2 linked regions of the Caenorhabditis elegans genome follow. The protein of the gene in region 2 interacts with the protein of the main gene of each other region in a pairwise test. Each region holds a gene or a part of one and is shown on either strand. Other genes may lie near its edges.

What was found.
Region 1: the proteins of R148.3 (region 2) and unc-10 interact in a two-hybrid assay, tested with the Caenorhabditis elegans proteins (one large-scale study listed by BioGRID).

What each region holds. Positions count from the first base shown.
Region 1 is NC_003284.9:7,270,166-7,286,784, forward strand, and holds unc-10 (Rab-3-interacting molecule unc-10), read right to left. Parts: upstream 10,158-16,619; 5' UTR 10,137-10,157; coding exon 10,068-10,136; intron 9,919-10,067; exon of another isoform or gene 9,780-9,918; intron 9,735-9,779; coding exon 9,685-9,734; intron 9,626-9,684; coding exon 9,492-9,625; intron 9,438-9,491; exon of another isoform or gene 9,353-9,437; intron 9,313-9,352; coding exon 9,242-9,312; intron 8,828-9,241; coding exon 8,640-8,827; intron 8,527-8,639; coding exon 8,190-8,526; intron 8,133-8,189; coding exon 7,988-8,132; intron 7,879-7,987; coding exon 7,790-7,878; intron 7,583-7,789; coding exon 7,527-7,582; intron 7,480-7,526; coding exon 7,298-7,479; intron 7,239-7,297; coding exon 7,139-7,238; intron 6,790-7,138; coding exon 6,617-6,789; coding exon of another isoform or gene 6,611-6,616; intron 6,564-6,610; coding exon 6,280-6,563; intron 6,181-6,279; coding exon 5,976-6,180; intron 5,928-5,975; coding exon 5,804-5,927; intron 5,747-5,803; coding exon 5,619-5,746; intron 5,573-5,618; coding exon 5,459-5,572; and 20 more. Other genes in the region: F46H5.11 (Nucleotide-diphospho-sugar transferase domain-containing protein), read right to left, coding at 241-388, 436-583, 632-796, 840-1,043, 1,812-1,817. UniProt on the Caenorhabditis elegans protein: Regulates the efficiency of a post-docking step of the release pathway. Acts after vesicle docking likely via regulating priming. May regulate the conformational changes in syntaxin.
Region 2 is NC_003281.10:3,168,567-3,185,062, forward strand, and holds R148.3 (DUF4476 domain-containing protein), read left to right. Parts: upstream 1-6,764; 5' UTR 6,765-6,814; coding exon 6,815-6,847; intron 6,848-7,003; coding exon 7,004-7,094; intron 7,095-7,137; coding exon 7,138-7,274; intron 7,275-7,318; coding exon 7,319-8,176; intron 8,177-8,250; coding exon 8,251-8,762; intron 8,763-9,120; coding exon 9,121-9,273; intron 9,274-9,326; coding exon 9,327-10,666; intron 10,667-11,283; coding exon 11,284-11,526; coding exon of another isoform or gene 11,527-11,543; exon of another isoform or gene 11,544-11,602; intron 11,603-14,401; coding exon 14,402-14,427; 3' UTR 14,428-15,079; downstream 15,080-16,496. Other genes in the region: R148.5 (PID domain-containing protein), read left to right, coding at 768-1,446, 1,907-1,991, 2,276-2,371; R148.4 (MARVEL domain-containing protein), read left to right, coding at 3,148-3,234, 3,347-3,586, 3,851-4,161, 5,910-6,084; lmtr-5 (Late endosomal/lysosomal adaptor and MAPK and MTOR activator 5), read left to right, coding at 15,127-15,161, 15,495-15,573, 15,888-16,061.

The sequences.
Region 1 (16,619 bases), on a different chromosome or scaffold from region 2:
CGTTCAGAATTTAAAGTGGTCACACTAAGAACTAGGCGAATGAAATTAAGTGAGACTGAATTTATGATAATGTGGAATGTTCAACATGTATTCATTTTTTCCTTTGAGAACATTACGAATAAAATTTAACAAATTTGTAAGTTTTTACTTAAAGTTTGTTGCCTAGATTTTATAATTGGTGGAAGTGGAGTGTTAAAAAATCATAAACCTCCACTTTTTCGTGTACAGTTTTGGCCTTACCGAATCTCTGTACTCAGTTGATGGAAAAATAGTGTTGAAGCTGTTGAAGCACGAACATGGAAATTTCCTCCGGCAATCATCCTAGATGACAACACAGATTCTCCTTCAACATCAAGATAAACGTCAATTGAATCATTCCCAGTAACATCTGAACCAAACTCAGCAAGTCTTTCAGCAATTTCAATATTGTCTTACCGAACAAATCGAATAGGTTTTCCCGCCAATACGTGTCCGGCTGCAGCATCCAAAATGACTTATTCATCATTGACAACATTGTTGCCAAATTGGCCCGTAATAATTGAAATAGTTGGTATTGACAATGGCCGACTAAAAACGGCTGTGACTGAAAAGCAATTAACTTAAGTTTACGTCAGTCATACTAAAAGTATACCACAGATGGTAGATCTAATTTAAACGTCCTTATTTGCGGCCAGAGCATTGAAAGCATTTGATAAGAATGGTTATCCATTGCGAAAACCACAATATTCTCTAAAATCGTCGGATCGTGAAAGGCTTTCAAATTACACAACCAGTTCAAAGTGATGTTCATGGCATGCTGCAAGAAAGAAAAAATACATAAAAACGAAGAATGAAACCACCTGATTCAGCAAAACGATCCCAACATTGTCTTCAATCTTTGAAATTTCATTCATCAAATTCGGAAAACTTTGTAATCGTGCTAGACTGACATCGGAATAATGTTGGCTTAAGCAGGAAAGTGTATTCGTCGCCTGTTCTCTTTTGTGGCCGATGTGAGTGAGGAAGGTTAAGAGGACTAGAATGAAAGTGCTTCCGAAAACGTTCTGGAAGTATTTTTCATCACTGAAAGATTTTCAAAGCTTAGCTTCTTGTTTTTGTAACTGTTGAAAATATTTCAATAATATTTTGAGGAGCTAAAATTTCAAAGATTCAACTTTTTAAAACTTTTTTTGCTGAATTCATTAACAACACCTTAACAAAAGAATAGGACTGAAATTTTTGTATTTTTTCATTTGAAAATTATTCAGTTGCTAAAAGCTACTTTCTAGACGTTTACCTTTTGCATCATGATTAAAAAGCGTATACGTGAATACCAAATTGTTATTTTAGGCACCATTATCTCGCATCTATCCTTGAACTATTTTTCAAATAAACTACTTTGTTTTTGCATGTTACCTCCTGAAAGTTAGCCTACTAACCCATTTCTCACTGATGATATCTAGTGAATCACTTAGATTACAAAAATTTCACTCTAAGGCAGAGCAAGAAAAAACTAAGAAGGTTTTGGGGAGTTAAGAGTCAGTTGTTTTCTTGATCGTGAAGAGAATTATAAATTACTTTTGAGACGCGCGCACTTTTAATCTACAACTTCGTAATAATTTGTAAAAAATACACTACATTGGCTCAGAATGTAAATAATGATGTTGTTGTAACGTATAATGATAAAAACTAGACTTGGTAAATTAAACTCAAAAATTAAACAATTTTAGTTAAAGTTGAGAGCTTAAAGTGAAAAAATTAAATGTAAAGTTGTCACTTTCAGATCGTTATTTAAAATCAGGAACCAAAATCCAACAAGCGAAATATCTTACCTTCATTCTCCGTTTTCTATTGAGTGACAAGCCTAATTGGTGGATCGTTATGCCATGAATGCGATCGAAAACAACCGAAAATCGAACTGTTGAAATTCGACCAAATCAATAGGCGACAAGTAGCATCATGAGATGCTTATCGTCGACGCAAAGTTGTTATTACTCCACTATGCATAATTCTTGGCGGCGCAAAACTGTTGCCTTCTTCGTTTGGATGCACCGATTAGCTGTACTACTACATTCTCTATGTCGTCTTGTATGTGGTTGGATTTTGTTGTGACTATTCATTTTCCTTTTTTATGACGTTAATATTTAAATGTTTCGGTATTAATTCAAATAATAAATTTAATAAACTAATTCATTGTAACCATAATTTTCAGAAGCACTGAGAGTTTTAGTTCAAGAATTGAGATTATACATTAAAAAGCGAGAAACAAGTACCCATAATGCATAACGAATAAATTTGTTGCCAATGCTCAAGAAAGAAAAAATGACAAGAAAATGACGATAGAAAGAGAGAAATGACCTGTGGTAATTAAGACAAAAAACAAACAAAAACATATGAAATTTGTTACTGCTGAGCACCTCCAACTGATACATCGGAATCTTTTCGAACTGGACCAGTGCCAGCAAGCGAAGAACTATGAAACAGTTTATACCACCCTATTAGTGGTTGAGATCCGAGTTCGAGGTCTTCTAATCGGATTTGCGAAATCCCCATGAATACTTTTCTTTCCATACGACCGTAATCACCAAGCACTGTTACCTACAAATGAACATAAGTTATTAATAGAACAACCTACATCAATCTCAAACCTGAAGCGTTTTTTTCTTTGGACTATCATTAAATATTAAATGTTGCTGGAATAATGGACTAGTTGTTTTAGTGGCGGCGTTTGTCTTTGCTTTGGCAATGCATTGTTTGCCCTCCATAAGATACACTTTTACATAGGGAGCTGAAAAAGTAAGCTCAAAAATATGAAGCTATATCTTCAACATCAACAATACCTGGACAAACTTTCACTCCCGGTTTTACTACCAGATTTTTAGCTTTGATAATTTCGACGTCAATGCCGCTTCTACCGGCCATTAAAGCGATCTGAATCTCTCCTAGCACCGGTGAGGCAAGCACTTGACGACCGACAACCTGACCCGGACCAAGATTGTCGACAAATGTACCAAGAGGACCATCAGCGAGCACTGGAAGCCAACTGAAAATTACGTCACTCAAAAACACGAAGTTACCATTGGCGTGCAAACTTGTCTGAGTGAGCAGAATCAGTGCTTTCCTTGCTGGCTTGCTTCAGAAAGGGAGGAGTGGGTTCGGTGAGCCGATCTGAAGACAAGTTTCCGGGAATTCCAACTTCCTCAGATCTAGCAAAACCGGTTCTTTTCCCTTCTGTAAAATATGATTGATAAATTTACATAACATGTCATGCTTATGCATACCTGCTCCCCTTCCTGGTATAAAACGTGTCATTAAACTTTTCTTTCGCTCCTTCATCACATTGTTAGCAGCAGAGCCTCCGCCTGCCACAGATGACGAACTTGCCAAAGAGTTTTGTTTAGTCTCTTTGATTGGGACTCGGTTAGTGTTGGCAGTGGGAGTTTCAGCAAAAGAAGTATTGTCATTCGAAGTATTGTTTGCATTCATGTTTCTCCTATTGACAGTTGTCATTCTGGAACATATCACGTTATCTTTTGGTGCTCATTTGTTCATTTTGTCTAATAGCTGCTCATGCGTTTGATTTTTTATTGAAAAAACAAGTAAAATAGTTGGAGCGGTATTTCATACCTAATTTAGCTGATATATATTTAACATCTTGCAACATAACTATAAATGTAAGACGTACGTAGTTGGCATGCTATTTGTTGAATGCACACTTAGCGTTTCACTTCCATCACTATAATATCCCTGGTTAGGCATTGGAGGCTGCATTTGTTGCATTTGTTGATTCGGTTGTTGTGGGTGCTGCTGTTGTTGAAAGCCCTGATGGTGTTGGGGTTGTACTCCGGCAGTCTGTTGCTGCTGATGAGCTTGCGACAACGGATGTGGCTGGTGTTGCTGATTATGCTGTTTTGGCGTCATCTGGCCTTGCGAAATCTTGTAGCGTCCATCTTCGTACAACGGCTGATCACCCAAGTAATATTGCGAGCCATGTCGAACACTATAAAGCATAATACAAGCTGCTTGGGATGCATTAACAATTAATGTTTATAAGTTGAGAAATAAAACGTATTTATATTTTAAATACTGCTCAAAAGTTATTGTTCTTTATTTTCATAAAATATATCTGAATCACTACACTTTGAAGCAAGTATCTGAACATAAATAACTTACGATTCTCTCATTGAGTACTCATTGTCATCCCGATGCTTCCTTGTTGGATCGTACATATCCTCCCTTTCCACTGAAAATAACTCAAACTCTTTTTTTCCAAACATTCAAATTTGATGAGGACTCATGAATAATTTAATAGGTGAAGCCCGACTCTTTCAACTAATCTGCACATTCATGACGTAACTCTCACATGCATTTTCTGTCACCTATTTTTTACACACTTACTTTGCGATAGTGCGGTTGCACTACGCGGACGTCTTTGCTGTCGTCGGTTGTAGGCTCGACCAATCATGTTTTGCCTTCCATACCCATGATCAGATGTGTAGCCTGATTGACGTTGGTGGTTTTGTGTCCAATCAGCATACCCATGTCCACCGTGCATCCCTTTCTCACGTCTATATGTCCTGCTCTTCCGCGCGCCACCGCCTGTCGCCAGGTCAATGTCGTTCTCAAGCTCGTCGTCGTCAATGTATTCATCATTCTCCTCGTCATTTGGGGCAAGATGATGATGATGCGGCTGCTTGTCTATGTTTTGACTGATGTGGTCATAATAGTTGGAGGAGTGATCGTAATAATTGAGCTCCGACTGCGGACGTCGTGTCGGTGCGTTGTATGACGCTTTTCTCAATTTTAAACGCTGCAAAAAAGTGAGAATAATAACATGGAATTTGAAAATACTAATTACCGTTCTCAGCGGGTTATCGTCATCCATATCAACAAGAATGCACATGAGTGAATGTTCTCCATCAAGTGGCACTGACGCCAAATCAATCAATGTCTCGCCAAGAAAACTGTTTGTACCAAATTTGTCGTAATCCCAGACAGTTAGCTAAAAAGTTAAGTTTCAGTATGCAAACAAAATTTAAAAAGTTAAAAACAAACCTCTAGTACTCTTTGCAACAACATCGGTTCAGTAAGGCCATTATAGTAAAAAACTTCATCCCAAACTGGCATGAGTGTCTCTGCTATAACAGCAGACTGCCGTCTAGATTTTTCACTTCTATCAGGCAGTAAAAATATTTTCACATATGGGTTTCTGGGAGTCCCGTCGGATCTTGGTGGTAGATCAAACCCACGAACGAGAGCAACTGAGAGTTGTCGATCATGATGAGAATACACAAATGAAACTTCTATTCGTCCAAATATGTGTCCTGTTCCAAAAGCTTGGCTCTCCTGCATCTCCCTATTGCTTGGAACACCAAGGTCGGGCACATCTAGAAAAAAATCATGATGACATTTTAACAAAATGTGAACTATTTTTCATCAAAAAAAAATATCTACACCAAAGTTAACATGGTTAGAATACCTGAATAATAATAGCTTGATGTCGAACGATTGCGTGAAGTCAATGTGTTATTATGAGGGAATACGGCTGATTGTGAATGTGGTAATGATAATTGTTGTAAAGCGGGATGTATGTCTGAAAACAAATTATTTAATTCTGAAGTTCTCAGTTCTAATTGTACCAAGAAAAAGGTCAGGGTTGGGTAATTGACGCTGAAATTGAGATGGATATGCAGATGGCACTCTTGAATACGCCGAGGATGACATTTGTGAGGGAGTAAGGTTGAGGAAGTCGTCACCTCCAGGAATACTGGAAAGACGAGATTTAAAAATGTTGACAGAGTTTAAAAATAAAATGTATATTTACATTGCACTCCTACTAACAATCAGCTCGACAGAAGTATCATATCTGCTTGCAGCGATGCTATCATATACTTGTTCATATGTGGCATTTTGCAGAGACTGTCCATTCCATTCTACTACTTCATCGCCTGAAAAAAAAGTTGAAGAAAAAAGTCTCTCACTTCAAAACTCATTACCAGGACGGAGTCTTCCAATGGTGTCCGCCACACTGCCAGGCTTAACTTGAGTAATGAATGCACCGAGCTTCCCGGTATCCGTTCTTCGGCCGCCTACAATTTTTAAACCGAGATCCCCGTTGGCTGCAGAATTTTCAGTTCGATGAAGTATCATGTGCCCTATTAATTTTTTCTGATCAGCAGAAGGTTGCCATGTTACAGGATGCTGAAAACATTGCCAATTGGAAACTTGTCAAACTTTTAAACTTTTTTTTTTGAATATGTAGGACATTTAGTTATAATTTTTGTATCAAAACAGGCTTACTGATAAAAATGTTCGTATCCGTGATGCCAACAAATCTCCGCCAGATATGCTCCCTGTTCCAAAATGATCATTTCTCGATGGTGACAAGGACAGCGATTTGTCACGCCTTCGATTAGCTTGCATGTCTAAACCCCCTTGGTAAGACCCCTTCAGTAAAGCATGTGATTTACTTTTCAGCACGCTGTTTCCGCTCAAGACACCGCCACCACCACTGCCGCCTACACCAGCGCCCAACGACGATGAATCCGAGTTTTTATGATCGCCATAAATATATCGAAGGAGGTCTGAAAAACTCATCAAAATGTCAACATGGGATTTCAAGAGTACGCACACAAACCCTTCTCAGAATTGCATTCCTCGGACAACCTCTGCACATTCGACGCTCCCATATCATCATGAAATGCGGTTTTCCCACCAGAGGCCACAACTGCTGACGTAGACATCTTCAAAGTGTTACCACCGCCTCCAGCAATAATATCCTCTTCAGAAGATGACATTGATCGAAGTTGCCTTCAAACAATTACTTTGAACAAATAAAATGAAGAAGAATGTATGACAAAAAATGCAGTTTATGTGAAATTGAACTACTGATGAAGAGCGAAAAAAGCTAAATGAGGCAATGCTCATTAAAAATTTGCATTGAAACCGAAAGGCGCTCTTCTGGTTTCTGTTTTGCTGTTGGTTTGACTAAAAAAGTGATCAGCAGAACAAAAAGGAAGTCATGCTAAATAATGAGAAAATGGAGACGTAACTGGAAGAGGGAAAGCAATGAACTCAAAGCTTGAGCACTTAGTACAAAAAAGACATTACTCAATTGAGTTTGTCTATTTTTTCCATTAGCCAAATTACACTTGCTCACCTATGCAATCGATTTTTCACCCGGTTCAAATGGTCGTCAGTAGAAGGACATGCTCGCACGCCTTGCGTGTTGGACTGACTCTGTGAAGAGTTGTTCCGCTCTGAAATTGATTCTCAAAATAGAATTTAGCAAGGTATTATCGATATGATATCATCTTACGTTTCTTAGATTCGAAGTTTGACGAACTTGCATAATCCTCCTCTGTTACCCGGCTGACTGTGTTTTTTCTAAGATTTCGGTTGTTTTGGTTCTGATTCTGATTATTTTGTTGTGAGCCCTGTTGCATTTGGCCATCAAATTGTCTTTGGTCATTCTCGGAATTTCCAGTGTAGAACGTGGGTCTGAAAGCAAGTGGGTATCAAGTTTTTAAACTTTATGGGATACTTACCGCTGGTTCATGCCATCATCCTCAACGTGATTGTATTTGTTCATGGGCGTAGTTTGCTAAATTAGAAACAATTTCGTTTTTTTTTTCATTTTAATATATTTTTCTACTCTGAACTTTGTACGACAGTACTGTAATTCTGACCAAATTTTCCGCTCTAGATGATTCTTCACATTTGTTCATTACTTTTACAGAAGTATCACCCTAATAATAAGCTGCTCAATCTTTTTTCAAAAGCTCGTTTTTGATATCCCTGATCCCTTCACCTCTAATGACGGCTGCCTATTGAACATTCCTCCTTGCCCGTTAGTATTCTCTCTCATTCTGTTGTTATCCGTCCGTTGTTCATTCATTTCTGAAATTATCCAGACTATATCAATTTGCGTCTCGTTCGCAATTTTAGCGCACAACACTTTTTTGTTTTGTTTTTCACTTTCTCTTTTTATACCCCTGGAGGCTCTTACGTTGATGATGCTGCTCTTGTTGTCCATGTTGATTATGGTGTTGATGTGCCGCGCCTACGTTGTTTTGATACTGACTGGGCTGCTGTTGAGGCGTTTGTTTCATAGTTCGAGAGTCATTTGTCCTTTGTTGGTTTTGGGGGCCAGTCTGAATTATTTACATGTAGAATTTGAAATAATCGTGGAACTTTCCAACTTCAAGTACCTGGTTTCTCTGGTTTTGAGTCATATTCTGATTGTGGCTCTGTTGTTGATTTTGGTTTTGATTCATCTGATTTATCTGATTTGCCTGATTTTGACTCATTGGCTGTTGTTGCATAGCTCTTCGATTATTCTGTTGATGATTGTTGGCTCCTTGATGATTATTTTGAACATGATTTTGATTTTGATGCGGGTTCTGCATTTGATTCTGATTGTGGTTTTGATTTGGATGTTGATTTGAATTTTGGTTCTGATTCATGAAATTCTGCTGAGTTTGATTATGATTTGGCTGCATTCCCATTCCACGGGGTTGTTGGTTGTTTTGATAATTTGGAGTGTTCCTGAAAATATGAAAATTAGTCTGAATTGTGATTGATTGAAACTAACGCTTCAAAGGAACATGTAACAATCAAACACAAACTTGGAAAAGTAAAAGAAACCGGAAGAAACTCACATTTTATCAGGCGGCTCTGCTCGCCTCTGCTGCGGTTCTGGTACGTTGTCGTCAGTTAGTGGTTGGGGCGAAGGGCTTGGCTCGGAGCCGCTAATTTTCGGCTGCGGCTGCTCTTCGGGTTGGAACCATTTGCCTGTTTTGGCAAGAATTTGTTGACGTTTCTGGCACAACGAACAAGCCCAGATTGCCTGAAAGCTTTTTACTTCTTCTCTTCAATTCACTTCTCTACTTTTTTATCGGTCGGTGCACCCACGGGGCTAATACTTTCTATTTATCTCTTTATTCCAAACTACTTTGCAAACAATGGATGCTATTGTTTTTCAGCTTCTGTCGTATTTTTTTAGATGTAAAAACGATTATTTCGCTTGATTTCCAAATTAGATTCATTAACTATAAAATTAAACATGATTTTATAATAAATTGTAAAGTTTAGATTTTTTTTGTGAAAATATAAACATTGCAACATCATATCGCAAAAATGTTCAAGTCGATTTTGCTCAAATTGGTTTTTATTCTGTTATTCAAATGCAGTCATCCAGAATTTGTCCTTTCTCTTTCATGTTTCCCCTTATTTCATCCCACACTTTCACTCCCGCTCGTACCTTATTTTTGCTCTGTGCTCTACCTCCACATCTGGCGCAGCTACGCAATTGACAATAAAAGCACTTGTGGCCTGAAAAACCTCTCATCTTGTGCTAAATTGATGTCCTTTTAGAGAGACGATGACAGCCAAGGGTTAGGGGCTCTCTGACGCCGCGGAGAGAATTACTAGGAACAGAAAACGAGGCTCATCTCAGGGCGACAGAAGGACCCTTTGCTCTCATCGCTTCTTCAGGAAAAGGAACAACGTACCAATTCCGTCCGCAAATTTGGTCTTCTGACAGATTTGACAGATCGCGTCATCTTGTGTGCCAACCAGCTTTTTCGATGTTTCTTTCCGCTCCGTGATCTGTTTGTCTAACTCTGACAATTCTTCAGATGCTTTTCTGGAAAATCATTCGCATGAAGAAATACCAATGCAATTATGTGTCTACAAAACTCTTACTGTGATATTTGTGTTTCTTTTGCCTCCTCATCTTTTTGTCGTTTGAAGACCTGCAAAAAACATAAATCATGAGCGTTCTGAGTGAGTATTCTCTATATGTATGTGCACGCATGATATCATGCCAATTTTCTTGTCGAATGTACATAAGAGCACACACTCGTTTGATTGCATATCCATTATTTTGCGTGTGCTCACGGCGTTGTAAGTAATACCCCTCCCCTTTTCTCGCTCTTTCACCCCTCGGGGGGCCCGTCATGCTCCGAGACAGAGGACTCACACCGCACCAACTACTTTTTTGAACCCCACAAGAAGCAGACGGATGGGCAAAATGAACGATGGGGGGGGGGGGGGGGGGGGAGGGGGTTCGTGCTGGAACAACTCACATTTTCTATTATTTCACGTTCTTCTGCAGATAAATGGGATAAATCCGGCATCATCGACGGATCGTCCATGATTATATTTAATGAGGCACTGAAGTTTGATTTTTAAGGTAATAAGGAGTTATTGCATCATGTGAAATCATAGCGTATAAAAAGACTAAAGCGCGATAACAATCCGAATAGAAAGAATAGAAACGAATTTGTTCGGTTTAAGAGTTGTATGTCAATAAAGGCCAACAAGAAAACAGGATCAACGCTGAAACAAAAAAAGAACAGCGTCAAAGATGGGGAAACCGAGAGAGGAAAAATAAGAGCGTCCGGGATTAGAAACGTTGAAAAATGACGCCTTTTCCAAGACATGAGCGCCCAGTAAGACTGGATGTGGTCATTTTCGACGACGACGTCGATGAATACCGTGGGAAACTCGGGACATCCAAAAATAGTCTTCCTCTTCTTTTCTTTACTGCTATCAAGAACTTTTTGCAAAAAAGAGAAAGAGAGCACTAAAACGGGAAAGGAATAAGAAATAAGCGTAGGAGGTGGGGAAGTGGGAAGCGAAGGAAAACGGGAAAAGAAAAGGAATAGAAGGGTGATGGATATTGGGTTCGCCAGGTTTCGCCATAAAAAAAGGCCAACCATGGACAGGTAAAGGTTCAAGCTGATGTTTGAATTGACAAAAAATGGACAGCTTGTGCAAAGTGGACAAAAGCATGTAAGAATAAAAAGCAAAATTCGATGCAAGATTAATGATGCACAAAAGGAGACATTCATTTGAGACAATGAATTCATGCTCGTTTCCCTGAGCACGGAAAAAAGACAAGGTTTGAAGATAGGGGTGGGGGGAGCCTCCCGTATCCGTAAGGAAAGAGAAAGAGGGCGAAAGGAAAAACGGAGGTGAAACGGGAGGAAAAGAAAAAAGACAAGGCGCGCCCAGGAGGAAAACCCGGGCGAATGCGATATAAGCAATGAATAAAACAAGGCCACGGATAGCGAATAGTTCATGTTTTACTCAGAGCTCTTCTAATAAATAAATGGATGTGTGTAGATGGGAGGGAGGGGTTTAGGACTCGGGGGCTAGCGGCGTGTGGCGACTGATGCGCAAACGCAGGGTGGAGAAAACGACGAAGGGATGGAGCAACGCCCGCAAAACACAAAAATGCTCCAAAGGCTCTACCCTTCTTTTCTCCCCCAACCAGTCTTCTCTCCCTTTCCATCCCGAGATGGCTCTATGTGGCGTTTGTGCCAAACGTTGACAATTAGCAACTCAGCGGGCAGCTTATCCAATATGCTCAAGATTGCCAAGTTTTGTTCTTTCTTCGTTGGAGGGCCTCCACACATACACACACATACACACGCAGGCCTCAGCCTCAAATTGGATTATCTGTTCATGAATGCATAGCAAAGAGAAGTATAAAACGACAGAAAAAGAAGACGAAGGAGGTGAGGACAGGGGACAGACAAACAGGGAACAGGACGAGGGATCACCTTTCCAAAAAGTTCACGCCCCTTCAATGCCCTTTCAGATACGTTCAGAATTCCTACTAGGACTATGAAGTAACTAATTATTAAAACTCACAGCAAAAGCAAAACATTTTTGTTCAACAATCGAACAAACTTTTCAAAAAAAGAGAATATTAAACATTCGCAACACTTATATATCCATATCCATATATATATATATATATACTATTTTCCTATTCCATCGGCTGGATTTCTAAATGTGTTATATGAAAAGAGTTTTCACGATTTGAAGATTAGATTAACTATGAGAAGATATATAAAAGGCGGACAAAATCCGTTATGAATCAATTCATATAGCTGACAAGAAACAGAATTAACAAACTTCTAGATGGGTAAATGTGATGTTTCAAAGATAAAGATTACCTTTTGGAAGTGCATTAATACTTTTCAGATTTGTTATATATCAGAGACATTTGAGAGTTCTTGTTTATTAGCGGAACGCTATCGGAACGAATTTCAAAGTTATGAATGTGAAAACGTAGTACGGTTTTCTTGAGGACAAAACTGTTTCTGAACCTAAAAATAAGGCATTCAAATCACATTTCATCAAATTGGACAAAGTTTGAAAAATGAATGACAATTTAACATATTTTCAAATTGTTTTCAAACTCTATCTGTTATTTGAGTGATCATAATATAAGTATACCTATAAAAACCCACTACGAGATAAAACAATTGATTGTTTTTTACTTATGTATATGTTTTTGTGGTTATGGTAAACATAAAATGTTCCTGAAAACAATTGAAGTCACATCAAAATTATTTAATACTATTACTCTTAAAATATGCACTTTTAAAAACACTATATTTGAAATACCCAAGTTGCGTGTGTGGGTTTTTTACATTTTTCCTTTTTAGGCTTAGAAATGGTTATTTCCTAAGCCCAAAAATACAAGAATATGCTTCACGTTTTCATTTTTTTTATCTTAAAAAATTACTTTTAAAATGAGGGCATGTAATACACAAGTACCCGTTTTTCTTATCTTTTAATAATTTTTGCATAATTTTGAAAGTTATTGTTGCATTTTAAATATATAATTTTGGAATAACAACTTATGAAATCCAGAAAGTATTTTTTCAGATTCAAAACTTTCTCAAAAGTACGGAAAAAAATAGTTCACGAACTGAGCAAAAACTGTTTGAAAATAGCATGGAGATGTTTCAAAGTATATTAAAAAATAAAATAAAAATTTATTTTTGTTTTAATAAAGCTATTTACAAATTTTAAGTTAAAACCTAGAAAAACTACCATCGAAAATTTTACAAAATTCAAACAGAGTCAATTTCTCAGCGCAGTTCGAATGTTTCAACGTATTGGGCAAGAAAAAGTGGACGTGAGAGAAGGCAAAAAACATTCCGTCAATAACTGACATCACTCAACTATTGCGTCTGCAAACATTCGAGCAGGGAAAAAGGTTAGGAAGGACCCAGAAAGGGTCTTGTGTCGTTGTCGCAAGAATGTATGTCCATTTATGTGTGTATGAAAATTTTCAAAAAAAAGACAACGAAAGATAGAGAGAAATTGGTAAAAGGTTTTCCCTGGCAAAAGCTGACAGCAATCAGTGGTCCACTGACAATGTGGGTAAAACGTGGGATTCGTAAGAAAATAAAATATTTTTTGGAGGGCACAAGGAAAAGAAGTGCATGTGGGAATACTGATGGAAACAAAGGTGCAGAGAGTTGTGGAAGAATAGAAACAGACTGCGCATGTTTGTACTACAGAGAAGTGCTCTCTTTTTTGGGTGCAAATTGAATATTTCAGGTGCAAGGGGAAGTGAAGTGAAAAAACGCAAAATGCAATGGGTCAAAAAGCTATATTTGAAAAAAAAACTACCGGAGTGGGAGTTAAAAGTGTTATATTCTACTTTTAATAATCATGTATTTTTAGATATTTTTAAAGGTGGAATAGACACACTCATCGCGCTTTTAGAATTTGCTTTTTAGATTTAAAATGAGTCAAAAGTACCGGATTTTGTAAAAATTCCAAAAATTAAAAAAAAAAAGTTAAGGAGGTTCAAAGTTTCGGAATAAAACTTACTTTCAGCTAAAATCTAAACATTTTTTATTTTATCAAAGTCACAACTCATGGAAGTAATTGTATTCTAATATCACTCTCTCTCTCCATAATATCACTATGCATAATTCGGAAATTGATTAAGTTTTGTTCCGTTGATTAAGATTGTTTTTGTTTTAATGTCGATGGGTGCACAATGTACAAATGCACTTCGGCACTGATAAATTGGAAAATAAAGATTTTAGCTGAAATTTAGCCTTGTTTTCCGAATACTTTAATCCGGCATAACTTTTTTTTTAATTTTCAGAACGACTTGTTTCGCAATCAGATAGTTTTAGACTTTTTTCGGTATAAAAGAGCAAGGCCACAGATTTCGGTACTTTACCGTCTGAAAATTGTTAGCTCGATTGCCTCAATGCAGCAAAAAACAAATGTTCGTTCTGATTGAAAAAGATCAGTGAAGAAATTATAGGGGTCTATTTCGAAAGGTATTAAAAAAGCTTGAATCCTATAATTACATGCTAAATTTTCTTTTACACTATGTGCATTTGGTCTAATATCTTATAGATTAATAATATGTTTAGAACCTGGTAATTTTGAGGAAAATGATGCAATATAATCAATGGAGTATACATCGGGATACATGAAAATTTCGGAATGTTTTTATTGGGTACTAGCTATCTGCTTAGTTCATAAAGCTGGTTTTTCTATAATAAACAGTAACGCAAAAATGCACGAGCAAAGTGCCTAAATACAAAAAGTGAGATGAGGTAGGGAAGGAGCAGTGAGGTTAGAGTGCAGCGGTGCATTGCACCAAAACTTTTTCTTTTTTTTTGAGACAAGCGTTTTTGGCTCATTCGTGTTTGGTGTGTACGGCACTAGTCCCTCTCCTTTTCTTTCCATTTTTCTTTCTTGCTCCCTCTCTTTCTCTCCCTTTCAATAACAAGGAAAACGGCCGCGCGGGACTAAACGACAGAGCAGTAGGAAAATAAAAAGAAGAAGCAAAAGTAGAGGAAGCGGCAGCATCTCAACGAAAAGAAGAAAAAGAAGACGAAGAAACGAAGCTCGCGCTCTCTGACTTGAGATCTCATCGATTCTCCCCACAATTCCGTGAAGCACGACTACTTTTCTCTCTCTGCTTGTTTTTCATTTTTCTTTGCTCTTCACTTTCTCAGTCCTCTTCTTTCGCAGTAGTGTTTCCTAGCTGCTCCAGCTTGCCTTTCTCGTTCTCATTGAAAATAAACCGAGATGGAATAAGAAGAAGAAGAAGAAGAAGAAGGAGGAAAAAAACAAGAGAAACGGAAGAAGGCGTTGCGAAATGAACTTCCCCAAAGGAGACGCAGCTTCAGATTCATGTCCGGACGGCTACTACTACGACTACTATTACTATTTCGTCGCTCTTTTCCTCTGATTTCCAATCCAGTGCGATGCGGAAGAAGAAAAGTTGACAAAAGTTGTAAGCGCGGCGAAGCGCTAAGTTAATATTAATTTCCAGCTACATAGCATTGTGTTCATATGAAAACATATTGTTTTCTACCTTTATTAGAAATTAACTACCAAAATTTCGTGGATAAAAATAAATGAAACGAATATTCATAAATTAAATATTACATGTTTACCTACATATGTATGAGACTTGTATCTCATTTGCTTCAAGTTGATAATTTACACTTCGGTTTTAATTGGTTTTATCAAACAAATTGTCAACTTTTTGAAAATGTGCAAAACAGCTCTTATTTGTTGGTAGTGAAACACTTTTTGATAAAATAAGACATCCGAGATATAAGCCGTCAAAATGGAATCATGGAGTGGGGTGCAAGTCTAATAGGAAAAACTAGAAAGGTACTTCCAATTTTTTGCACGAATTCTTACACAAAATGATAGTTATAGTGTTGCGGAAGTTTGTTGAATAAGTCAAAATATGTTTGATTTTGCAGTTCACATATCAAAAGATTTTTTATTCGGCTTTTCTATTGTTTTTTTTTCGAAAATAAAAGTTTTCATCAATTTTATAAGTTGTATATTTTTGGCCAAATAAATAATAAAAAAGGTTCCACAAAAAGTTATTTTATTGTTACAACCTTTCAGAAACTTTGTCTCAATGAAATTTTTCACCCATAAAAAATTTATGGCATGGGAAGCTCATAAAAGAAAATGAAAAAAAGAGGAAAATGAAATAGAGTATAATGATGAGAGTATTTCCAGTTTCAAGTTTCGTTTCTTTTCATTCATCTTCCAGTCAACTCAACTATGCAAGAGTAACAGATGAAACGGATACTTAAAGGATCCAATTTTGCGCCCTCTTACAAATGAAGAATGTTGTCTCATTCTGTGTGTCTATTGGAAGCATCTCATTTCTTTTCTAATAGCAATTGGACGCTAATCGCTCAAGAAATTTAATAAATTGTTGTTTCATACAAGACAGAAAAATATAAATTTATCAAAAGAAATTGACAAAATACCGTAGTTATTTTATCAGTAACAGCATCAACCCGTGTTCCCCTAGCCAATTAGTCGTAAGAGATAGTCGTAAGAGTTTTCAGTGTTTCAATTTTTTTTTCAAATTAAGGTTGATTCTTTTTAAATACTGTAATAATTAATGATTATCAATTAGTTCTTTGCTGACACTATAAAAATTTTGAACTCCTTCTACCAGCCGATTCACAGCCCAGCTACACAGATTCAAAATATCAAAATTTCATTAAAGTGTACAACTTTTCAAAAACTGTTCTACTTTGTCGATTTCCATAGTAACTATCGATAAAAACTCGGTAATTCTTATGATTTTGTTGTTTTTCAGTTAAAAATTTTTTAAATTAAAGTTTTATTATGAAACTTCATTTTACCGCCGTACGATTACTGTATTGTGCAAATCCCCCCACTGAAAAGACCATTTTTCGAAAACTTATACAAAAATCAATATAATTCAATTTTTGCGTCAATAGGGAGTCATTGTGAATATATTATTGAGAAATATATTCAAATTCTTGATTTGGCTTTTGCAACAAAAAATTGATGCA
Region 2 (16,496 bases):
GGCAGTGCTAAAAAATTTGTCAGTTGTCAATTTTCTAGTAAAACTAAAGACAATCGAGTTATAAGCTGTCAAAGATCAGCTAGCTCGATGCACAATGAGCAGACCTAGCTGTAACTGATCATATCTCAGTTCATTTTGAAGTTATTAAATTCTTTTTCAGTGCATTATTATAGAGAAATTTATAATAAACATTTACTCAGTTGACAATTTTTTGATAAAATAAACGACAACCGAGTTCAGCCAAATCAGCCAAAGACAACTGTTACGATGCACCATAAGAAAAATCGCGCCAAGCTTTGAGAGCTTATATCTCCGTTCATTTTAATTGAGTTATTGTTTGCAAAACTATAGGTATAGAAAAAATAATGATAAACATTTTGTCAGTTGACTAAATTTTGATAAAAGAAACGACAACCGAGTTATAAGCTGTTAAATGAAGGGAAAATTGATGCACCATGTACAAAACGGTGCCAGGTTTTGATCACTCATATCTCCGGTGATTTTTAAGCTATTCAGTTTTTTTCAACCGCAAAATTTTAGAAAAACCAATATTAAACATTTTGTCAGTTGGCAATTTTTGGATACAACAAACGACTACCGAGTTGTGAGCAGTCAAAGTTGAGCTAACCTGAGGCACCATGTTAAAAACGTTGCCTACCTTTGATTGCTCAAATTTCCGGTTATTTAAAAAAAAACCATAAAGATTTTGTCAGTTGACCATTTTTTGATTCTCTATTTTTTTTATTCTCTAATATTCTAATTTTCAGGCGGCATCCGCGGAGCCCTTGTCCCGTTCGACGAGCCCCTCCGCCGCGCTGGCTCCGACAATGATCTCTCCTATCGTGGACCCCCACCACATCATCCATACGGACCTCCTCATCCGATGCACCATCCCTATGCAATGATGCCTCCGCCATTCGGCTTCTTCCCTCCACCGCCACGTGGACACTTTCCACCTCCTCCACCACATTTTATGGGTCGAGGTATGCCCCCACCATTTATGCCTCCACCACCACATTTCGGTATGGGACCACCACGTGGATTTATGCCGCCCCCGCATCCAATGATGTTCCGAGGTGGACCATACCCGCCGTTCTTTCCTCCACCACCACCACATTTCATGAGGCCTAGTAGCCCACCGACTGATGGTGGACCAATTATTACTGGGCCAGAGTCGGTTTATGGGACAATGCGTCGAGGAGCTTATGAAGAGCCAGCTTATGTTGGAGCAACTGGAGGATTCCCGGAGGCTAGCTATCAACCGGCTAATTATGGTGGAGATGGTTATGAGACATATTATGATACATTCAAGAAGCGAGGAACACTGAAGAAGGGGGAATCGGCGTCGATGGCTTCCACGAGAGCCGATAGCGCCTGGGATCAATATGAAGCTGGGATCTATAGAAAACCACATATCAATGAGAAAGCTTTTTCGGGAACTTTGAGGTAAGAAAAGTTAAGATTGAACGGAAATTCACAGAGATAAGAGCATTAAAATTGACTTTGTGCATGGTGCTTTGTACATCAACTAGCAATACACTTTCTCAGCTCATATCGCTGTTCCGGTTGGTTTTATCAAAAAATTGCCAACTAACAAAGTGTTTGTTATGAATTTTTCTATAATTTTGTAGTTGATCAAATTTTGATAGCTCAAGAATCAGCCGAGATATGAGCAAGTTTTAAACATGGTGCATCGAGCAAATACTTTTTTACCACTTATATATTGGTTGCTTTCGGTTTTATTAAAAAAATTACCAACTAACAAAATGTTTGCTATTAATTTTCCTATATTTTTGTAGTGAAGCAAGTTTTGGTAAAATTCAAATGAGCCAAATGAGATATAAGTTTTTGAAGCTCAATTTTTCAACATGGTGCATCGATAGTGATTGATAACTTCAAATTCCAGATCAATGGCCGCCAAGGAGACAAGTAACGCTACGCTGAATCGATCGGAGCACGCCGAAGTTGCATCGCAAACGGTCGAGACGGAGGTAATTGGTTTTTTATTGATTTTCTAGTGAATTATCGATTTTTTAAATCATCGATTTTCAAGGAATTATTCGATTTTCTAGGAAATTACCGATTTTTTGGTAAATTAATCGATTTTTGGGGTAATATCGACTTGCTGAGAATTTATCGATTTTTCTTAGAAAGTGTATTCTAGAAATTTATCGATTTTCCGAAAAATTATCGATTTTTTGGTCTTTTTTTGGTACAATATCGACTTTCTGGGAATTTATCGATTTTCTCAAAAATTATTGATTTTTTTTTGCAGATAACCCGCCCCGACTCTCCACCAGTTGACTATGAAGCCTTTGAGAAGATGAAGCTAAAGGAAAATAGCCGACGCGCTGCCCAGCCCACTAATTAATGAATATTTTATCGATTTTTTCCCCTGAAAACCCATTTATTCTTTCTTCCATCCACTACAAAATTCTATAATAAACCGCCAATTACTGGTCTTGACAACAAAAGGAAATTGTTGAATTTTATTGTAATTTTTGAAAAATTCTTAATCTAGAACTGCCCCTGCCCCCTTTATTGTGCCTTTTTCTGTGAGTATTTTGACATATATTTATAATAAGCCGCATTCCTTGAATATTTATATTTAAAATAAAAATCTAATAAAAATTCAAATTTTTCCGAAAAAGTACGCAAAATTTCGTCGGGTTTGATGTATTGTACGCAATTTGCAGTTTTTGGGAGAATCGAGCGGTAGTTTAACTTGCGTATTTATATTTTTTCAAAAAACATGAAAACCATCAAAACTTGCGTTTTTGAGTTGTATTTTGATTGGAAGATCACTGGATTTCGCGTAAAATATCAATTTACGTCATATTTTGAGCTTTTTATAGTTTTGCTGAATATTTACTGCAAGACTAGTTTCTCTGTTTTTCTCAGTTTCCCCACAACAAAAACCACTTTGTTATCTGAAAAATCCATCAAAATCCGCGGATCAATCCGCAAAAATGCTGCAAAACTAGTTCTACCGTACCCATTCAAAGGCGCATTCGAAAAGATATTGCAGCGGGTCTCGACGCGAAATCCGCCACCGTATCCGTTTCTAGCGCGATTTATGAATTTAAAACCGATTTTAATTGATTTTCAACAGATTTTCGCCGATTTTTCGGCAGAAAATCGATTAAAATGTCAAAAGAAGCGAATTTCTCGTTTTATGGAGCCCTGCCAAGCTTCAAACCGACTCGACACTGCTGCGGAATCGTGGAAAACTCGGTAAACATTTTTTTTCACTTAAAAAGTCTAGAAAACCACGTGAAATCTCAATTTAGGGTCAAAATTTGTGAAAATGAACATAAAAAATCTAAAAAACATCGATTTTCTTCAGGTTCTCTATCTTCTGCTGACAGCTCTCACCACCCTCCAACTCATCGTCTTCATCGTAATTTTTATGCACCCGGAGCTGCGAAATATGCTCAATCTGAATCCGAATTTGAAGCAAAATCAGGATATTCTGCTTCTTATACTCACTGCAATGTCTTCTATATGGCTGCTAACTGTGCTGTTCAGTTTTGTTGGTTTTATGAAGAAAATCACCTATTCTCACTTGCCACTCATCGCTACTGAGGTAGAATTCGAGAAATTTGAGAATTTTAACCGCGAAATTCGAATTCCCGGTGAAATTTAACTAAAAATATGTTTTTTCCAGAGAGATTTGCAAAATTCTGCAATATGTCGTCAAATTCGGTGTTTGCGTATTTTCGACGCTACCGTACCCCGCGGAATTCAAATTTCTAGTGGGAAACCCGCAAAAAACGTGGTTTAAGGGTGAAATAGCACTGGGAATTCGAATTTTTCAATGAAAAATTCTCAAAATCTCTAAAATAAAAAGTTTCTGGTGATCTTCTGTCTCGTCGCGACCGCCCTGTTCGCCGCCTTCACTTGGTCAATTTCACCGTCGGATTATTCGAAAATTCCCATTGGAAGCTCGCCGAAAAACCGAAATTTTCAACTTTTCAAGCTCATTTTCTCACTGTTTATGGCACTTTTCCACGTGTACTACACGTATATAGTGTATTGTTTGTGGAGAGACGGCAGAAAAGAGCAAAAAACCGAGGAATTTATTCGAAGACAACATATGATTGATGAAGTTTGCGAGGAAATGTTGTGGGAAGAAGACGAGCGAAATTATCAGGAAAATAGGTAGAAAATCGATAATTTTCGTGTGATTTTACTCTAAAAATTCGGATTTTTCGCTTAAAATCGTTAAAAATCACATAAAAATTGAGTATCGAGAAATGCGCCAGCGAAATTCAGAATTTTGATGGCGCAACTCTTGATACAGTTAACATTTCGCGGTTTTTGAACGAAAATCGATAATTTTCGAGTGATTTTTTCTTGAAAATTCAAAATTTGTACTAAAAATCGTAGAAAATCAAATAAAAATTGAGTATCGAGAAGTGCGCCAGCAAATCTTGCTGGCGCATTTCTCGATACTGAAAATTTCGCGATTTTTGAACGAAAATCGATAATTTTCGTGTGATTTTACTCTAAAAATTCAAAATTTGTACTAAAAATCGTAGAAAATCACATAAAAATTGAGTATAGAGAAATGCGCCAGCGAAATTCAGAATTTTGATGGCGCATCTCTCGATACAGTTGAATTGAGTGATTTTCAATAAAAAATCGATAATGTTCATGTTGATTTAACCCTAAAAATTCAAAATTTGGACTAAAAATCGTAGAAAATCACATAAAAATTGAGTTTAGAGAAGTGCGCCAGCAAATCTTGCTGGCGCATTTCTCGATACTGTGAAAATATCGCGATTTTTGAACGAAAATCGATAATTTTCGTGTGATTTTACTCTAAAAATTCAAAATTTGATCTAAAAATCGTAGAAAATCACATAAAAATTGAGTATCGAGAAATGCGCCAGCAAAATTAAGAATTTTGTTGGCGCATCTCTCGATACAGTTGAATTGAGTGATTTTCAATTAAAAATCGATAATTTTCATGTTGATTTAACCCTAAAAATTCAAAATTTGATCTAAAAATCGTAGAAAATCACATAAAAATTGAGTTTAGAGAAGTGCGCCAGCAAATCTTGCTGGCGCATTTCTCGATACTGTGAAAATATCGCGATTTTTGAACGAAAATCGATAATTTTCGTGTGATTTTACTCTAAAAATTCAAAATTTGATCTAAAAATCGTAGAAAATCACATAAAAATTGAGTATCGAGAAATGCGCCAGCAAAATTAAGAATTTTGTTGGCGCATCTCTCGATACAGTTGAATTGAGTGATTTTCAATTAAAAATCGATAATTTTCATGTTGATTTAACCCTAAAAATTCAAAATTTGATCTAAAAATCGTCGAAAATCACATAAAAATTGAGTATCGAGAAGTGCGCCAGCAAATCTTGCTGGCGCATTTCTCGATACTGTAAAAATTTCGCGATTTTTGAACGAAAATCGATAATTTTCGTGTGATTTTTCCTTGGAAATTTAAATTTTGCACTAAATATAGTAGTATCGAGAAATGCGCCAGTAAAATTGTAAGCTTGCTGGCGCATTTTTTGATACAGTGACAACATCGTCTGTTTTAGGTAAAAATCGATAATTTTCTAGTCATTTTACAGGAAAAATTTAAAATTTTGGCTGAAAATCGTACAACTCACTAAAACTAAGTATCGAGAAGTGCGCCAGCCAATTTCGTTGGCGCATTTCTTGATACAGTACCAACTTCGAAATGTTTACTGAAAAAAACCTTATTATTTTAAAATTCTCGCACAAAATTACGAATTTTTCACAATTTTCACCCAAAAAATTCAACAAATTTTGAACTTTTGGGTGGAAATTTCCGAATTTTTCGAATAAAAAATCAATTTTTCACACTTCCAGTAGTGAAATAACCTGAATTTTCCGATTTTTCAACTAATTTTTCTCTCAGAACCTTCCCAATGACCGGAATCTACCCGCAGGACCGCTCAATTTCCACTTATTCCGAATCAGAATGCTCAATTTCAATGTGCTCAGCCGAAATTCGAATCAATGAAATGTACGCCGCATATCTTCAGGATCAACGTTATTTCGACACTTCTAACTATGGAAAACGCAATTATTAGGCGGAAATTCGAATTTTTCTCTCACTTTTTCTTTCATTTTCCCGTTTTCTTCTCAAAAACTGTGAATTTTTCCTGTGAAATTCACCAAATTTCCCTATATTTCCCGGATTTTTATAATTTCTGTGTTAATAACCCCAGTTTTGATTTTCTACTTGCCATTTTTCACTTGTGAAACGAATAAATTATCGATTTTTAGACCGGTAAATGTGGTTTTCAGGGAGTTTTGGGGCAAAAATTAGATTTTTTAGCGGTTTTTAATGAGTTTTCTAGTTTATTTTTGAAAAAAAAACAAAAAAAAGTTTTGAAGGGAACAAATGCTAAATTTTTGCAAAGTTGTTTTAAACCGAGTTTTCTCTAGTTTTTATTAATTTTCTTGAATTTTCAGTCAATTTTTAAGTTTTTATTGCAATTTTAAACTAACTCGTTTCATTTTTCTCCTATTTACATTTTTTTTTCAGCTTAAAATGAAAAATCCCCCAAAAAAAAATAAATCCACAAGCTCTTAACTCTGTGCGGCACCATTGCGGAACACCGTGCCGCTTGCTTGCAAATGGGCGGGGCCTAGCTTCAATACACGTGTCTCAACGGTTTTCCACATTTTTAACGTTAAAAAACTGAATTTTCTCCGATTTTTCTCAATTTTTTTCCAAAAATTTGTTTGAAAATGTACATTTATTGATTTTTGTAGATAATTATCCACATTTAGCGGGCAAACTCCGCGTTGTATATAATGGAACCGCCCAAATTGTTGGGGGTTGTTTTGGTGAGTGTTTTCTCGATTTTGGAGTAGAATTTGTTAATTTTGAGCGAGAAAATCGAAAATTGAATGCGTTTTTAGCCTTGGAATCATGGAAAATCGATTTTATTGCGAAAAAAAACTGAATTTTTACCAATTTTCCGCTAAAATTCAATTTTTCAGACAACCGCCCTTCTCTTCCATATCGCTTTAACTGCAAAGCAGGCAGTTGTATCCAGAAAGTCAAAATTATGCGGGAATGTCGAGTGTGAAGGTAATTTTTTGCCTGTTTTCAGCCAAAAATCGAATTTTTCCAGAGGTTCTATTCAAAGCACGCGTGAAACGGGTGATGGGCATCAATAACGATCCGAGTTTTCTGAATTTGGCCGAAAACGCGATTATTTCTGTGGTGGCCGTCAAGTTTAGCGATCGGCCCGATATTATGGAGGGAAAAGTGCGTTTTTTTGACTGAAAAAGTGCTAATTTTAAAATTTCCAGCTCAACGGCGAGGGTTCGAACGGGTTTTTCTACGCCGGAGCCATCGACATCATGCCATTCGCAGAGTTTTTGCGTACAGCGATCACTGATAAGAAGGAGATGCTCATGATCAGTCAAAACCCGGCAGACATCGGTGATAAGCGAATCGTCGGATTTTTGCACTCGGAAACCGATTTGGTACGGGATTTTAACGCTAAAAATGCTCAAGCGGCTGCGGAGAACGGGCTCCCGGCTCCCGAGCCGATACCGATCCCGGAACCAGCTCACACGGGGCACGGACATAGCCATGGAGGCCATGGGCACAGTCACGGAGGTCATGGACATTCTCATGGGCATCCGGCTCCAACTCCAGCTCCAACTCCGGCTCCAAAACCTATCGAAGAAGCTCCAAAGCCAGCCGAAGAGCCCGTCAAGCCTGCCGATCTGGAAATGGACGCAGAAATCGAGCGGCTCATTAAGGAAGAGGAAGAACGCATGAAAAACGTCGCCGAGCAGCCTCCACTGGTGCTTCAATCGCTTCCAGAGACCCCAGAAGCCCAGAAACTTCCAGAAGAGCCCCTAGAGCCAGTCACTCCTGAGCCAATACCAGAAGCTCCGGTTCCAATTGCTCAATACATCCAGGAGCCGACGACAACTCCAGCTCCTCTGGAAGCTCCAGCTCCAGTGGAAAATGCTCCAAATCTCCCAACTCCAACCTTTTCTGTGGATGATTTGATGGCTCAAGCGGCTCGAGACGCTTTGAATTCGAATTCTATAGTTCCTGATGCTCCAAAAGTTGAAGAGCCCGAGCCCGCTCCAACTCCAGCACCAGCTCCAGCCGAAGATCCAGTTGTAACCCCGGCTCCGGAAGAGCTCACCGTAAGTTTTCATTTTTGTGTTTTTTCCGCGTTTTTCCATGTTTTTGCCCCGTTTTGTGACGTTATTGTTGTCAGGGCGTCTGCTACAAAGACGACTGTCAAGGATTGCAGACACCTCCGCCACCAGCTCCACCGCCACCGGCTCCAGCAGTTCCAGAAGAAGCTCAAGCTCCAACTCCGGCTCCAGAAGAAGCTCCAGAAGCTCAAATCCCGGCTGAAACTGCCCAAATTCCACCGGAAAACGCGGTCCCAGAAGCTCCAGAAGAGCCGGCTCCAACCACAACACCACCACCAATTTCAGCGGGAGAAGCCGAATTCTTGAAATGGGAAGAAGCTCGTCAGAAACGAGAAGCCGTCGCTGCTGCTCCGTACGAAGATGCTCAGGCTCATCAATTTGTCGCCTCACCGCCCCCGCACGTCTCCTCGGGGCTCATTGAGCTCATTCGTAGCTCTCTTGGGCTCGGGAATATCACGGATTCATCGGTTTTGCTCGTTGTGAACTTGACGTTTGTAGCTGCGAGTTTTCTGGTTTATATCATTATCAGAAGCTTGTCGTCGGGCGGAGAATCTGATATTTTGGATAGACAGTGAGTTTGCAGGAAGAAAATGCGCAAAAAATGAGCCCAATCATGTTTTGTAGATTTACGGGGTGGTTTTTGTAGATTTACGAAGCGTATGTAGATTTACGGAGCCTTTTTGTAGATTTACGGAGTCTTCGTGTAGATTTACGGAGTCTTCGTGTAGATTTACGGAGCCTTCTTGTAGATTTACGGAGCCTTTTGTTGTAGATTTACTGGGCTTTAGTAGGTTTACACGGCTTCTTGTAGATTCACGGAGCCTTCTTGTAGATTTACGAGGCTTCTTTTCAAAGTTTCCTGTTGATTTACGCACTCTTAATAGCTTTTCGCTCTTTTCACCGAATTTCATTAAAATTTCAATTTTCAGGGCTCATTTCGACCTCATGAACAAGCACAAGCAGCTCCAGCTCCAACTCAATGCTAAAATCACCGAAATCCAGAATCTACAGGCTAATGGAGCCGCCGCTCAACGCCCAGAGCAACCGAATTATGAGCCAGAGCTTCTTGCATTGAGACAACAGTGAGCCGACTATAAAAATTGTCATTTTTACCCCTAAAACTCGTAATTTTCAGACTTGCTCACCTTCAATCGGAGCTCCAAACCGCTCATGCTCAACGTCAGGAATTCGAGATTCACTATCATCAAATTCGTGAGCTCGCCGAGCAAAAGGATCATCAAATCGCGCAGCTCACCGAGCAGGCCAACGACTATCAGGAACGACTCGAAAAATCGCAATCCGAGCTCCAAGAGCTGGCTCGTCACGTGGATTCGGCTCGCGCAGAGCTCATGGATAGTCAGACGTCGGATTACGGTAGACAGCAGGAGCTGATGGAGAAGCAGGCTGAGCTCGAGCAGATTTACGTGAAAATTGATAATTTGACGGCGGAGAATCGAGATTTGACAGATAAAATTGCTCAGCTTCAAGTATCAGATAGCCTAGAGCTTGAGGAGCTTGAAGAGCTTAGAAATAAGAATTTGGAGCTCCAGGAGCAAGTTAAACAGCTTAAGGAGGAACTCGAAAAGGAGAAGAGTGTTGCTGGATCTGGAAATTCGGGTGGATGGTCGGATATTGATGATAATGAAGTTGTTGAAGCTGTGCAACCCATTGAAACAACTCCAATTTCATCAGAAAACTCGGAGAATTTGAAGAAATTCGAGGCTGAAATCGCGGAGCTGAAGGCAAGCTTGGAGAAAACCGAGAAAGAGCTCACAAAGTACCGTAATCTGTACAACGAGAAGCTCACCGCAATCAGTGATAAGGAGAATCGGAGCCAAATTGAGATGGAGCACAAGTTGAAGAACGCAGAGTCGGATTTACAAGAAGCCAAGCGGCGAGCCGAGGAGATTGGAGCCGAGAAGAAGGAGCTCAGTGATCGGCTCAATGAGATGCTCAAAAATTTGAATCAAAGTATGCAAAAATCGGCGGAAAACGACAAAATGCTTACACAGCTTAGAGAAGAAGCGTTTGCAAAGGAGAAGCAGCTTTTGGAGCATGATTCTGTGCTCCGAAAGAAGGATGATAAGATTCGAGAGCTCGACGCAGAGTTTAAACGTGTGAAAATGGAATATGTGAAGCTCGAGACAAAGAGTTTCCACGATGTTCGAAAGCTTAACATGGACGTTGAAGAGCTCAAAACTCAGCTCTCAATGGCTGGAGGTGTCACGAGCTCGCGGAGCATTCCAGATCGCCTTGTTTCTCCACTTCAGGAGCCTATTTGGGATGAGCCCGAGCCAGCACTGCAGAGAGTTGTTTTACCATTGGATGGATATTCATCGATGAGAAGACGATCGACACGTCGGAGCCAGTTGCCGTTTGGAGCCGAGTCACCGTCGGATCAGGAGAAGAAGCAGGCGGCGCCGAGTCATCGGAGACGATCGAGAAGTCATGGAAGGCAGCCACCCAGTTTTCATGGTAGAATATTTGCGCATTTTTCTGGAATTTTCCGACTTAAAATGCTCAAAAAGTTGAATTTTTGCCTGAAAATTTAATGAAAATTCGTTAAAATTGAAATTTTTGAGCAAAAACCTGAAATTTGAGTGCTTTTCTCGTTGAGCTTTTGCCGGAAAAAAATGCTCAAAAATATTGATTTTTCACTAAAACCCTGCAATTTATCGAATTTACGAGCTAAAAATGTTCTCAAAATTTGGCTTGAAAAACTGTAATTTTTCCGATTTTTTCAGGCTGAAAACAAGAATTTTCACAGTTTTCTGGTGCTTGCTTCGAACTGAAAATGCTGTAAAAACTAAAAATTTCGCCTGAAAATTTACGGGAAATGCACAAAAATGTGAAAAATGACGTAATTCGCTCGATTTTTTTGTAATTTTCACAGAAAAATCGTTGAGTTTCAATAAAAATGCTAGAAAATTTCATTTTCGCTCGAAAATTTATCAAAAAATACTTTTTCCTTCTAAAAAAAGCTCAATTTTCGCTCAATTTTCAGTTTAAAAAATTGAAAATTTGTGATTTTTCACATAAAAATTATGAAAAAATTCAAATTTCCCCCAATTTAATATCCGAATTTCTTGCAGATCCCTATTCAATGAATCCATATCTGCCCGGCTCATCGGATTCGAGCTTTATGAGCACATCTCAGCCACAATTCCTTCCGCTTAACCGTCAACACAGTCGAAGTGGACATTTGATGAGCAATTCGGCGAATGGACCATATTCATCGGGTGGCTCAAACGGTGGACGGAGCCCACCACCAGAGATGCCGCTGCTCAGCGCGATTCCACCGCCAGGAGCACGAAAACCGCTTGGCAAACGGCCAGGTACTGGCGAATTTTGATTTTCTCTCGGTGAAAATGGCCCCGGAAACTGAAAAAATCACGATTTTTGGCTAAAAATGTATGAATTTCAATAAAATTTCAAATTCTGGCGATTTTGAGCTAAAAATGTCATTTTTCCAAGGTTTTCTACTCCAAAATTGTCGAAAACTGCAAGAAAGTTGAAAACAATAACTATTTTCAGATTTTTGAGCCCCAAAGTACTCGAAAATGTGGAATTTCCTGTGAAAAATTCTATTTCTTATCCGAAAATGCGAGTTTTGGCCAAAAAATCGAAAAAAAAACTGAAAATAGTGTTTTTTCGCAAACTTCCTGCTAAAAATTCGGAAAAAAAACTGATTTTTACCCGAAAATTTCTTTAAAAATGCTAAAATCTGGGCTAATTATCTTTTACTATGATATCTTTTACTTTTTTACCTTTTACTCATCCATTTTATCGAAATTATCTTTTACTCATTTACTCATTTTTTTTCAAATTTATTTGTTTTATCTTTTACTCATCCATTTTGAAAAAAATTATCTTTTACTCATTTACTCATTTTTTCCATTTTTTGCTAAAAATCAGTTTTTCGGGTAAAAAAGTTGTCAGGAAGCCGATTTGGGACCTATATTTGGCCAAATTTCTTTAGTTAATGATAAGGTGATCGTTATCTATTAGATAAAGTACTCCGACCACCCATCCGGTCTTCACTAGTCATATATCTCGATATGTATATTCAGGCAAAATTATTGAGAAAACTGATGGAGTCCTTTCTGAAATGTCTTTAATTGATGGAATTAACAGTTTTTATCGCTCATCTACTCAAGTTTTCCAATTTTAATTTTTTATCTTTTACTCATCATTTTGAAAAAAAATTATCTTTTACTCATTTACTCATTTTTTTGAAATTTTACCAAAAAAAGAGTTTTTCGTGTAAAGAAATATTTTCAAGCCGATTTGGTTGATCAAACTGCTCAGTTAACGTTGGTTAGTGATGTTCTATAGATAAACTGTTGGAAAAAATTTTCCAACTTAAAAGTTGCCATTATATCATCAAAGATCCAGACAAGCAAGTTCAAGTGACTATGTGGAGTCTACCCACTCAAAAATTTTTTTTTTCAAAAATCAAAATTTTGAGAAAATTGATGAAGTTCTTCCTGAAATGCATATAATAGATGAAATTAACCGTCCTGAAAAAAATTTACTACACTTTAACTGGAATTTTAACCAAGTTTTTGCCGATTCAGTTACCCAACGTAGAATTTTGAGAACACAAGAGAACACAAACTTATATCAGATCATTTGAAGAAGTTCAAAAAAAATTCTGAATGGATCCGGATTCGAACCAGGATTGTTTCTACTGAAGAGCCCGCGCTTTACCACTTCACCAAACAGGTGAGAGGCGCCCTCGTTTCAAAGCTATATATGAAATCTGTTCCATCTTGAATTTGGTAACTCAAATTGACAACTCTTCATGATAACACGAAAGTATTCTATTCTGGAATGTTGTGCAACTATTCTTATCCACAGCTAACTTGTCCTAATTGATCTTATCCATAACGGGAATGTAGCTTATTTGATTTTGTAGTCTTAGAATGTGCCTGTATTCTTCAGTGAAACCCTCCCGGCGGCCTAAAATGTTTTTAAAACTATTATTTCCGAGTATATTTTTCTAAACTTCACTAGATAACAGTTTGGGAATTTCTGTGATTCATCGAAAAAGCCTTTTGCGAAAAAATCATCGTAGGCCTAAAAATTTTTCTCAAAAACACCTCGAGTCTTGTATTTTCGTGGAGATAATATGCTCAGTAATTTTTATAATTTTTTTTTTCATCAAAAGCCCTGTTTTCATGTTTAAAACGTCTTTTATTACTATTTTATTCCTTTCAAAAATCGAAATTAAAAATTGTTCGGAGTACGGTAGACCTCGGTGTTTGCGTACTTTTGCGTACGGTGCATTTTATTTGACGACAATTTTATTTTTGAAAGGAATAAAACCGCAAAAAAAGACGTTTTAAGCTCGAAAACAGGGCTTTTGATGAAAAAAAAAATTTTTGAGTGGGTAGACTCCACATAGTCACTTGAACTCGCTTGTCTGGATCTTCGATGATATAATGGCAACTTTTAAGTTGGAAAATTTTTTCCAACAGTTTATCTATAGAACATCACTAACCAACGTTAACTGAGCAGTTTGATCAACCAAATCGGCTTGAAAATATTTCTTTACACGAAAAACTCTTTTTTTGGTAAAATTTCAAAAAAATGAGTAAATGAGTAAAAGATAATTTTTTTTCAAAATGATGAGTAAAAGATAAAAAATTAAAATTGGAAAACTTGAGTAGATGAGCGATAAAAACTGTTAATTCCATCAATTAAAGACATTTCAGAAAGGACTCCATCAGTTTTCTCAATAATTTTGCCTGAATATACATATCGAGATATATGACTAGTGAAGACCGGATGGGTGGTCGGAGTACTTTATCTAATAGATAACGATCACCTTATCATTAACTAAAGAAATTTGGCCAAATATAGGTCCCAAATCGGCTTCCTGACAACTTTTTTACCCGAAAAACTGATTTTTAGCAAAAAATGGAAAAAATGAGTAAATGAGTAAAAGATAATTTTTTTCAAAATGGATGAGTAAAAGATAAAACAAATAAATTTGAAAAAAAATGAGTAAATGAGTAAAAGATAATTTCGATAAAATGGATGAGTAAAAGATAAAAAAGTAAAAGATATCATAGTAAAAGATAATTAGCCTAAAATCTGATATTTCATGCTCCAAAAAAATGGAAATTTTTCAAAAATTGAGGTTTTCGGTCCGAATATTGCCGAAAAAAGTGCAAAAAATTTAAAAAAATCGATTTTTTTTTTCAGATTCTGCTCACCATCTTGGCAAATAGGACACTGGATGCTGCTCTTGGATTTAAATTTTTTTTTCTTGTAATTTTCTTCTTTTCTTTTAGATTTTCTATATATATATATATATACCCATTTTGTTCTCTTCTCTGAATGTTTTTCCCCTTCAATTTATCGATTTTTTCGATTTTTCCAACCAAAAATCGACCAAAAAGTGTCTTAAATCATATCAAAAAGCTCAACTTCGCTTCGTTTTTTCTTGTTTTTTTTAACTTTTCTAGAATTTTCACCTGAAATACGAGTTTTCCCACCTCTAAAACCCCCTGTCGCCTTATTTTATACCAAAAATTCAAAAAATTTGAGGCAGAAAGCGCGCTCCACTGGTAATTTTCGCGGAAATGCGATAATTATCACTGGAGCGCACATGCTCTTTGAATTTTTATTGATTTTTTTCCGACCGAAAATGTGATTTTTCTGTGGTTTTTTTTTGTGCTCCCCCCCCCCAGCCGACTAAAATTGAAATTATTTTCTTCGTGTATAGCTAAATAATATATATATTTATTTATTGATTGGTGTTTTTTTTCTCTGTGAAAAATGAGTTTTTTTGTGAAATTTCCGGGTTTTTTTTTTGGTGGTTGTGGTGATGGTTTTCATGCCAATTATTGTATTCTATAAATTTCCTGGAATTTTGAATTTTCTTTTTTTCGCTAAAAATCTTGAAATAGTGAAGTTTTTCAGCAGAAATGGAGTCGAAATTGGAGCAAAACGTCACAGCGATGTAAGAGAGCAGGAAATTTGAAAAACATTCTATTTTTTGTTACAAAATTCGCTAAAATCTCGAAATTTTGATTAAAAATCGTTTAATTTTTGAAAATAGCTTAAAATTTCTAATAATATCGACATTTTTTTTTATAAAGAAAGTGTTAAAAATCCAATTTTTCAAAGAAAAAAACTGGATTTTTACTGAAATTTTACGAAAATCCAAAATTTTTCTAATTTTCCCTCAAAAATTGAGAAAAAAAAACGACTGAATACTCTGAAAAATAGCGTTTTTCGTGAAAATTTCAAATTTTCTTCTAAAAAACCCAAAAAATTTCAAATTTTCTTGCAGGATGTCAAGCACCGGAGCATCGGGAATTACAGTCGCCGACTCGGAAGGTGTCAGGCTTCATTCGGCTGGAAAGATTACTGTACGCACAAAAAAATCAATTTTTTTCGGAAAATTGCAATTTAAAAGCGAATTTTTATATAAGATTTCGAAAAAAAACAGCAAAAAAATCAATTTTTCTAATTGAAATTTCGAAAAAAAATTCGATTTCCCCACCAAAATTGAAAAAAACCTTTAAAAATCGATTTTTCACCAAAAAAATTGCAAAATTAATCGAAATTTCAAAAAAAAAAAAAAAAAAAATTAAAAATCCATTTTTTCTTAGCCAAATTCAAAAAAATCGATTTTCTGATAAAAATTCTCTAATTTTTCAAAAAAAATCAATATTTTCTTCAGGATATGGCAAATGTTGGCTCATTGATGATCGCCGATGCGAAGAATATGTTCCCAAAAGGTACAAGAAATAAGAAGAATAGTTATCCAATTGTCACATTACACTCATCGGACGGATCAAAGACTACGGTGGCCAATAAGCATGGAGAAACTGTCTCAATTCATTTTCAGAAATAAATTACGTCGGAAAATCTGGAAAATTCACGAAATTTCACTCTAAATCGCCTGTTTTTACCTGAAAATCTCTTTTTTTGATCATTTTTCCTGAAAATTTCACCAATTTTTCTCAAAATTACCTTTTTTAGCGGAAATTGGAAAAATACAGAATTTTTTAAAAATCTAAAAAAAAATCGGAATATTTCATATTTTTTTAAATCAAAAATCTGACATTTTCAGAAATTTTTGTTCGAAAATCTAAAAATTTTGAACGTTTTATTCAAAAATCAACAAATTTCATATTATCTGCTTCAAAAACCTGAAATTTCCGGATTTTCTTACAAAAAATCAGTTTTTTTTTCAAATTTTTTGTCAGAAAATCTGAAAATCTTCTGAAAACCCTGATTTTTTTTTGTATTTTCTTTGACTTTTTTCAATTTTCCCCCATTTTCCCAC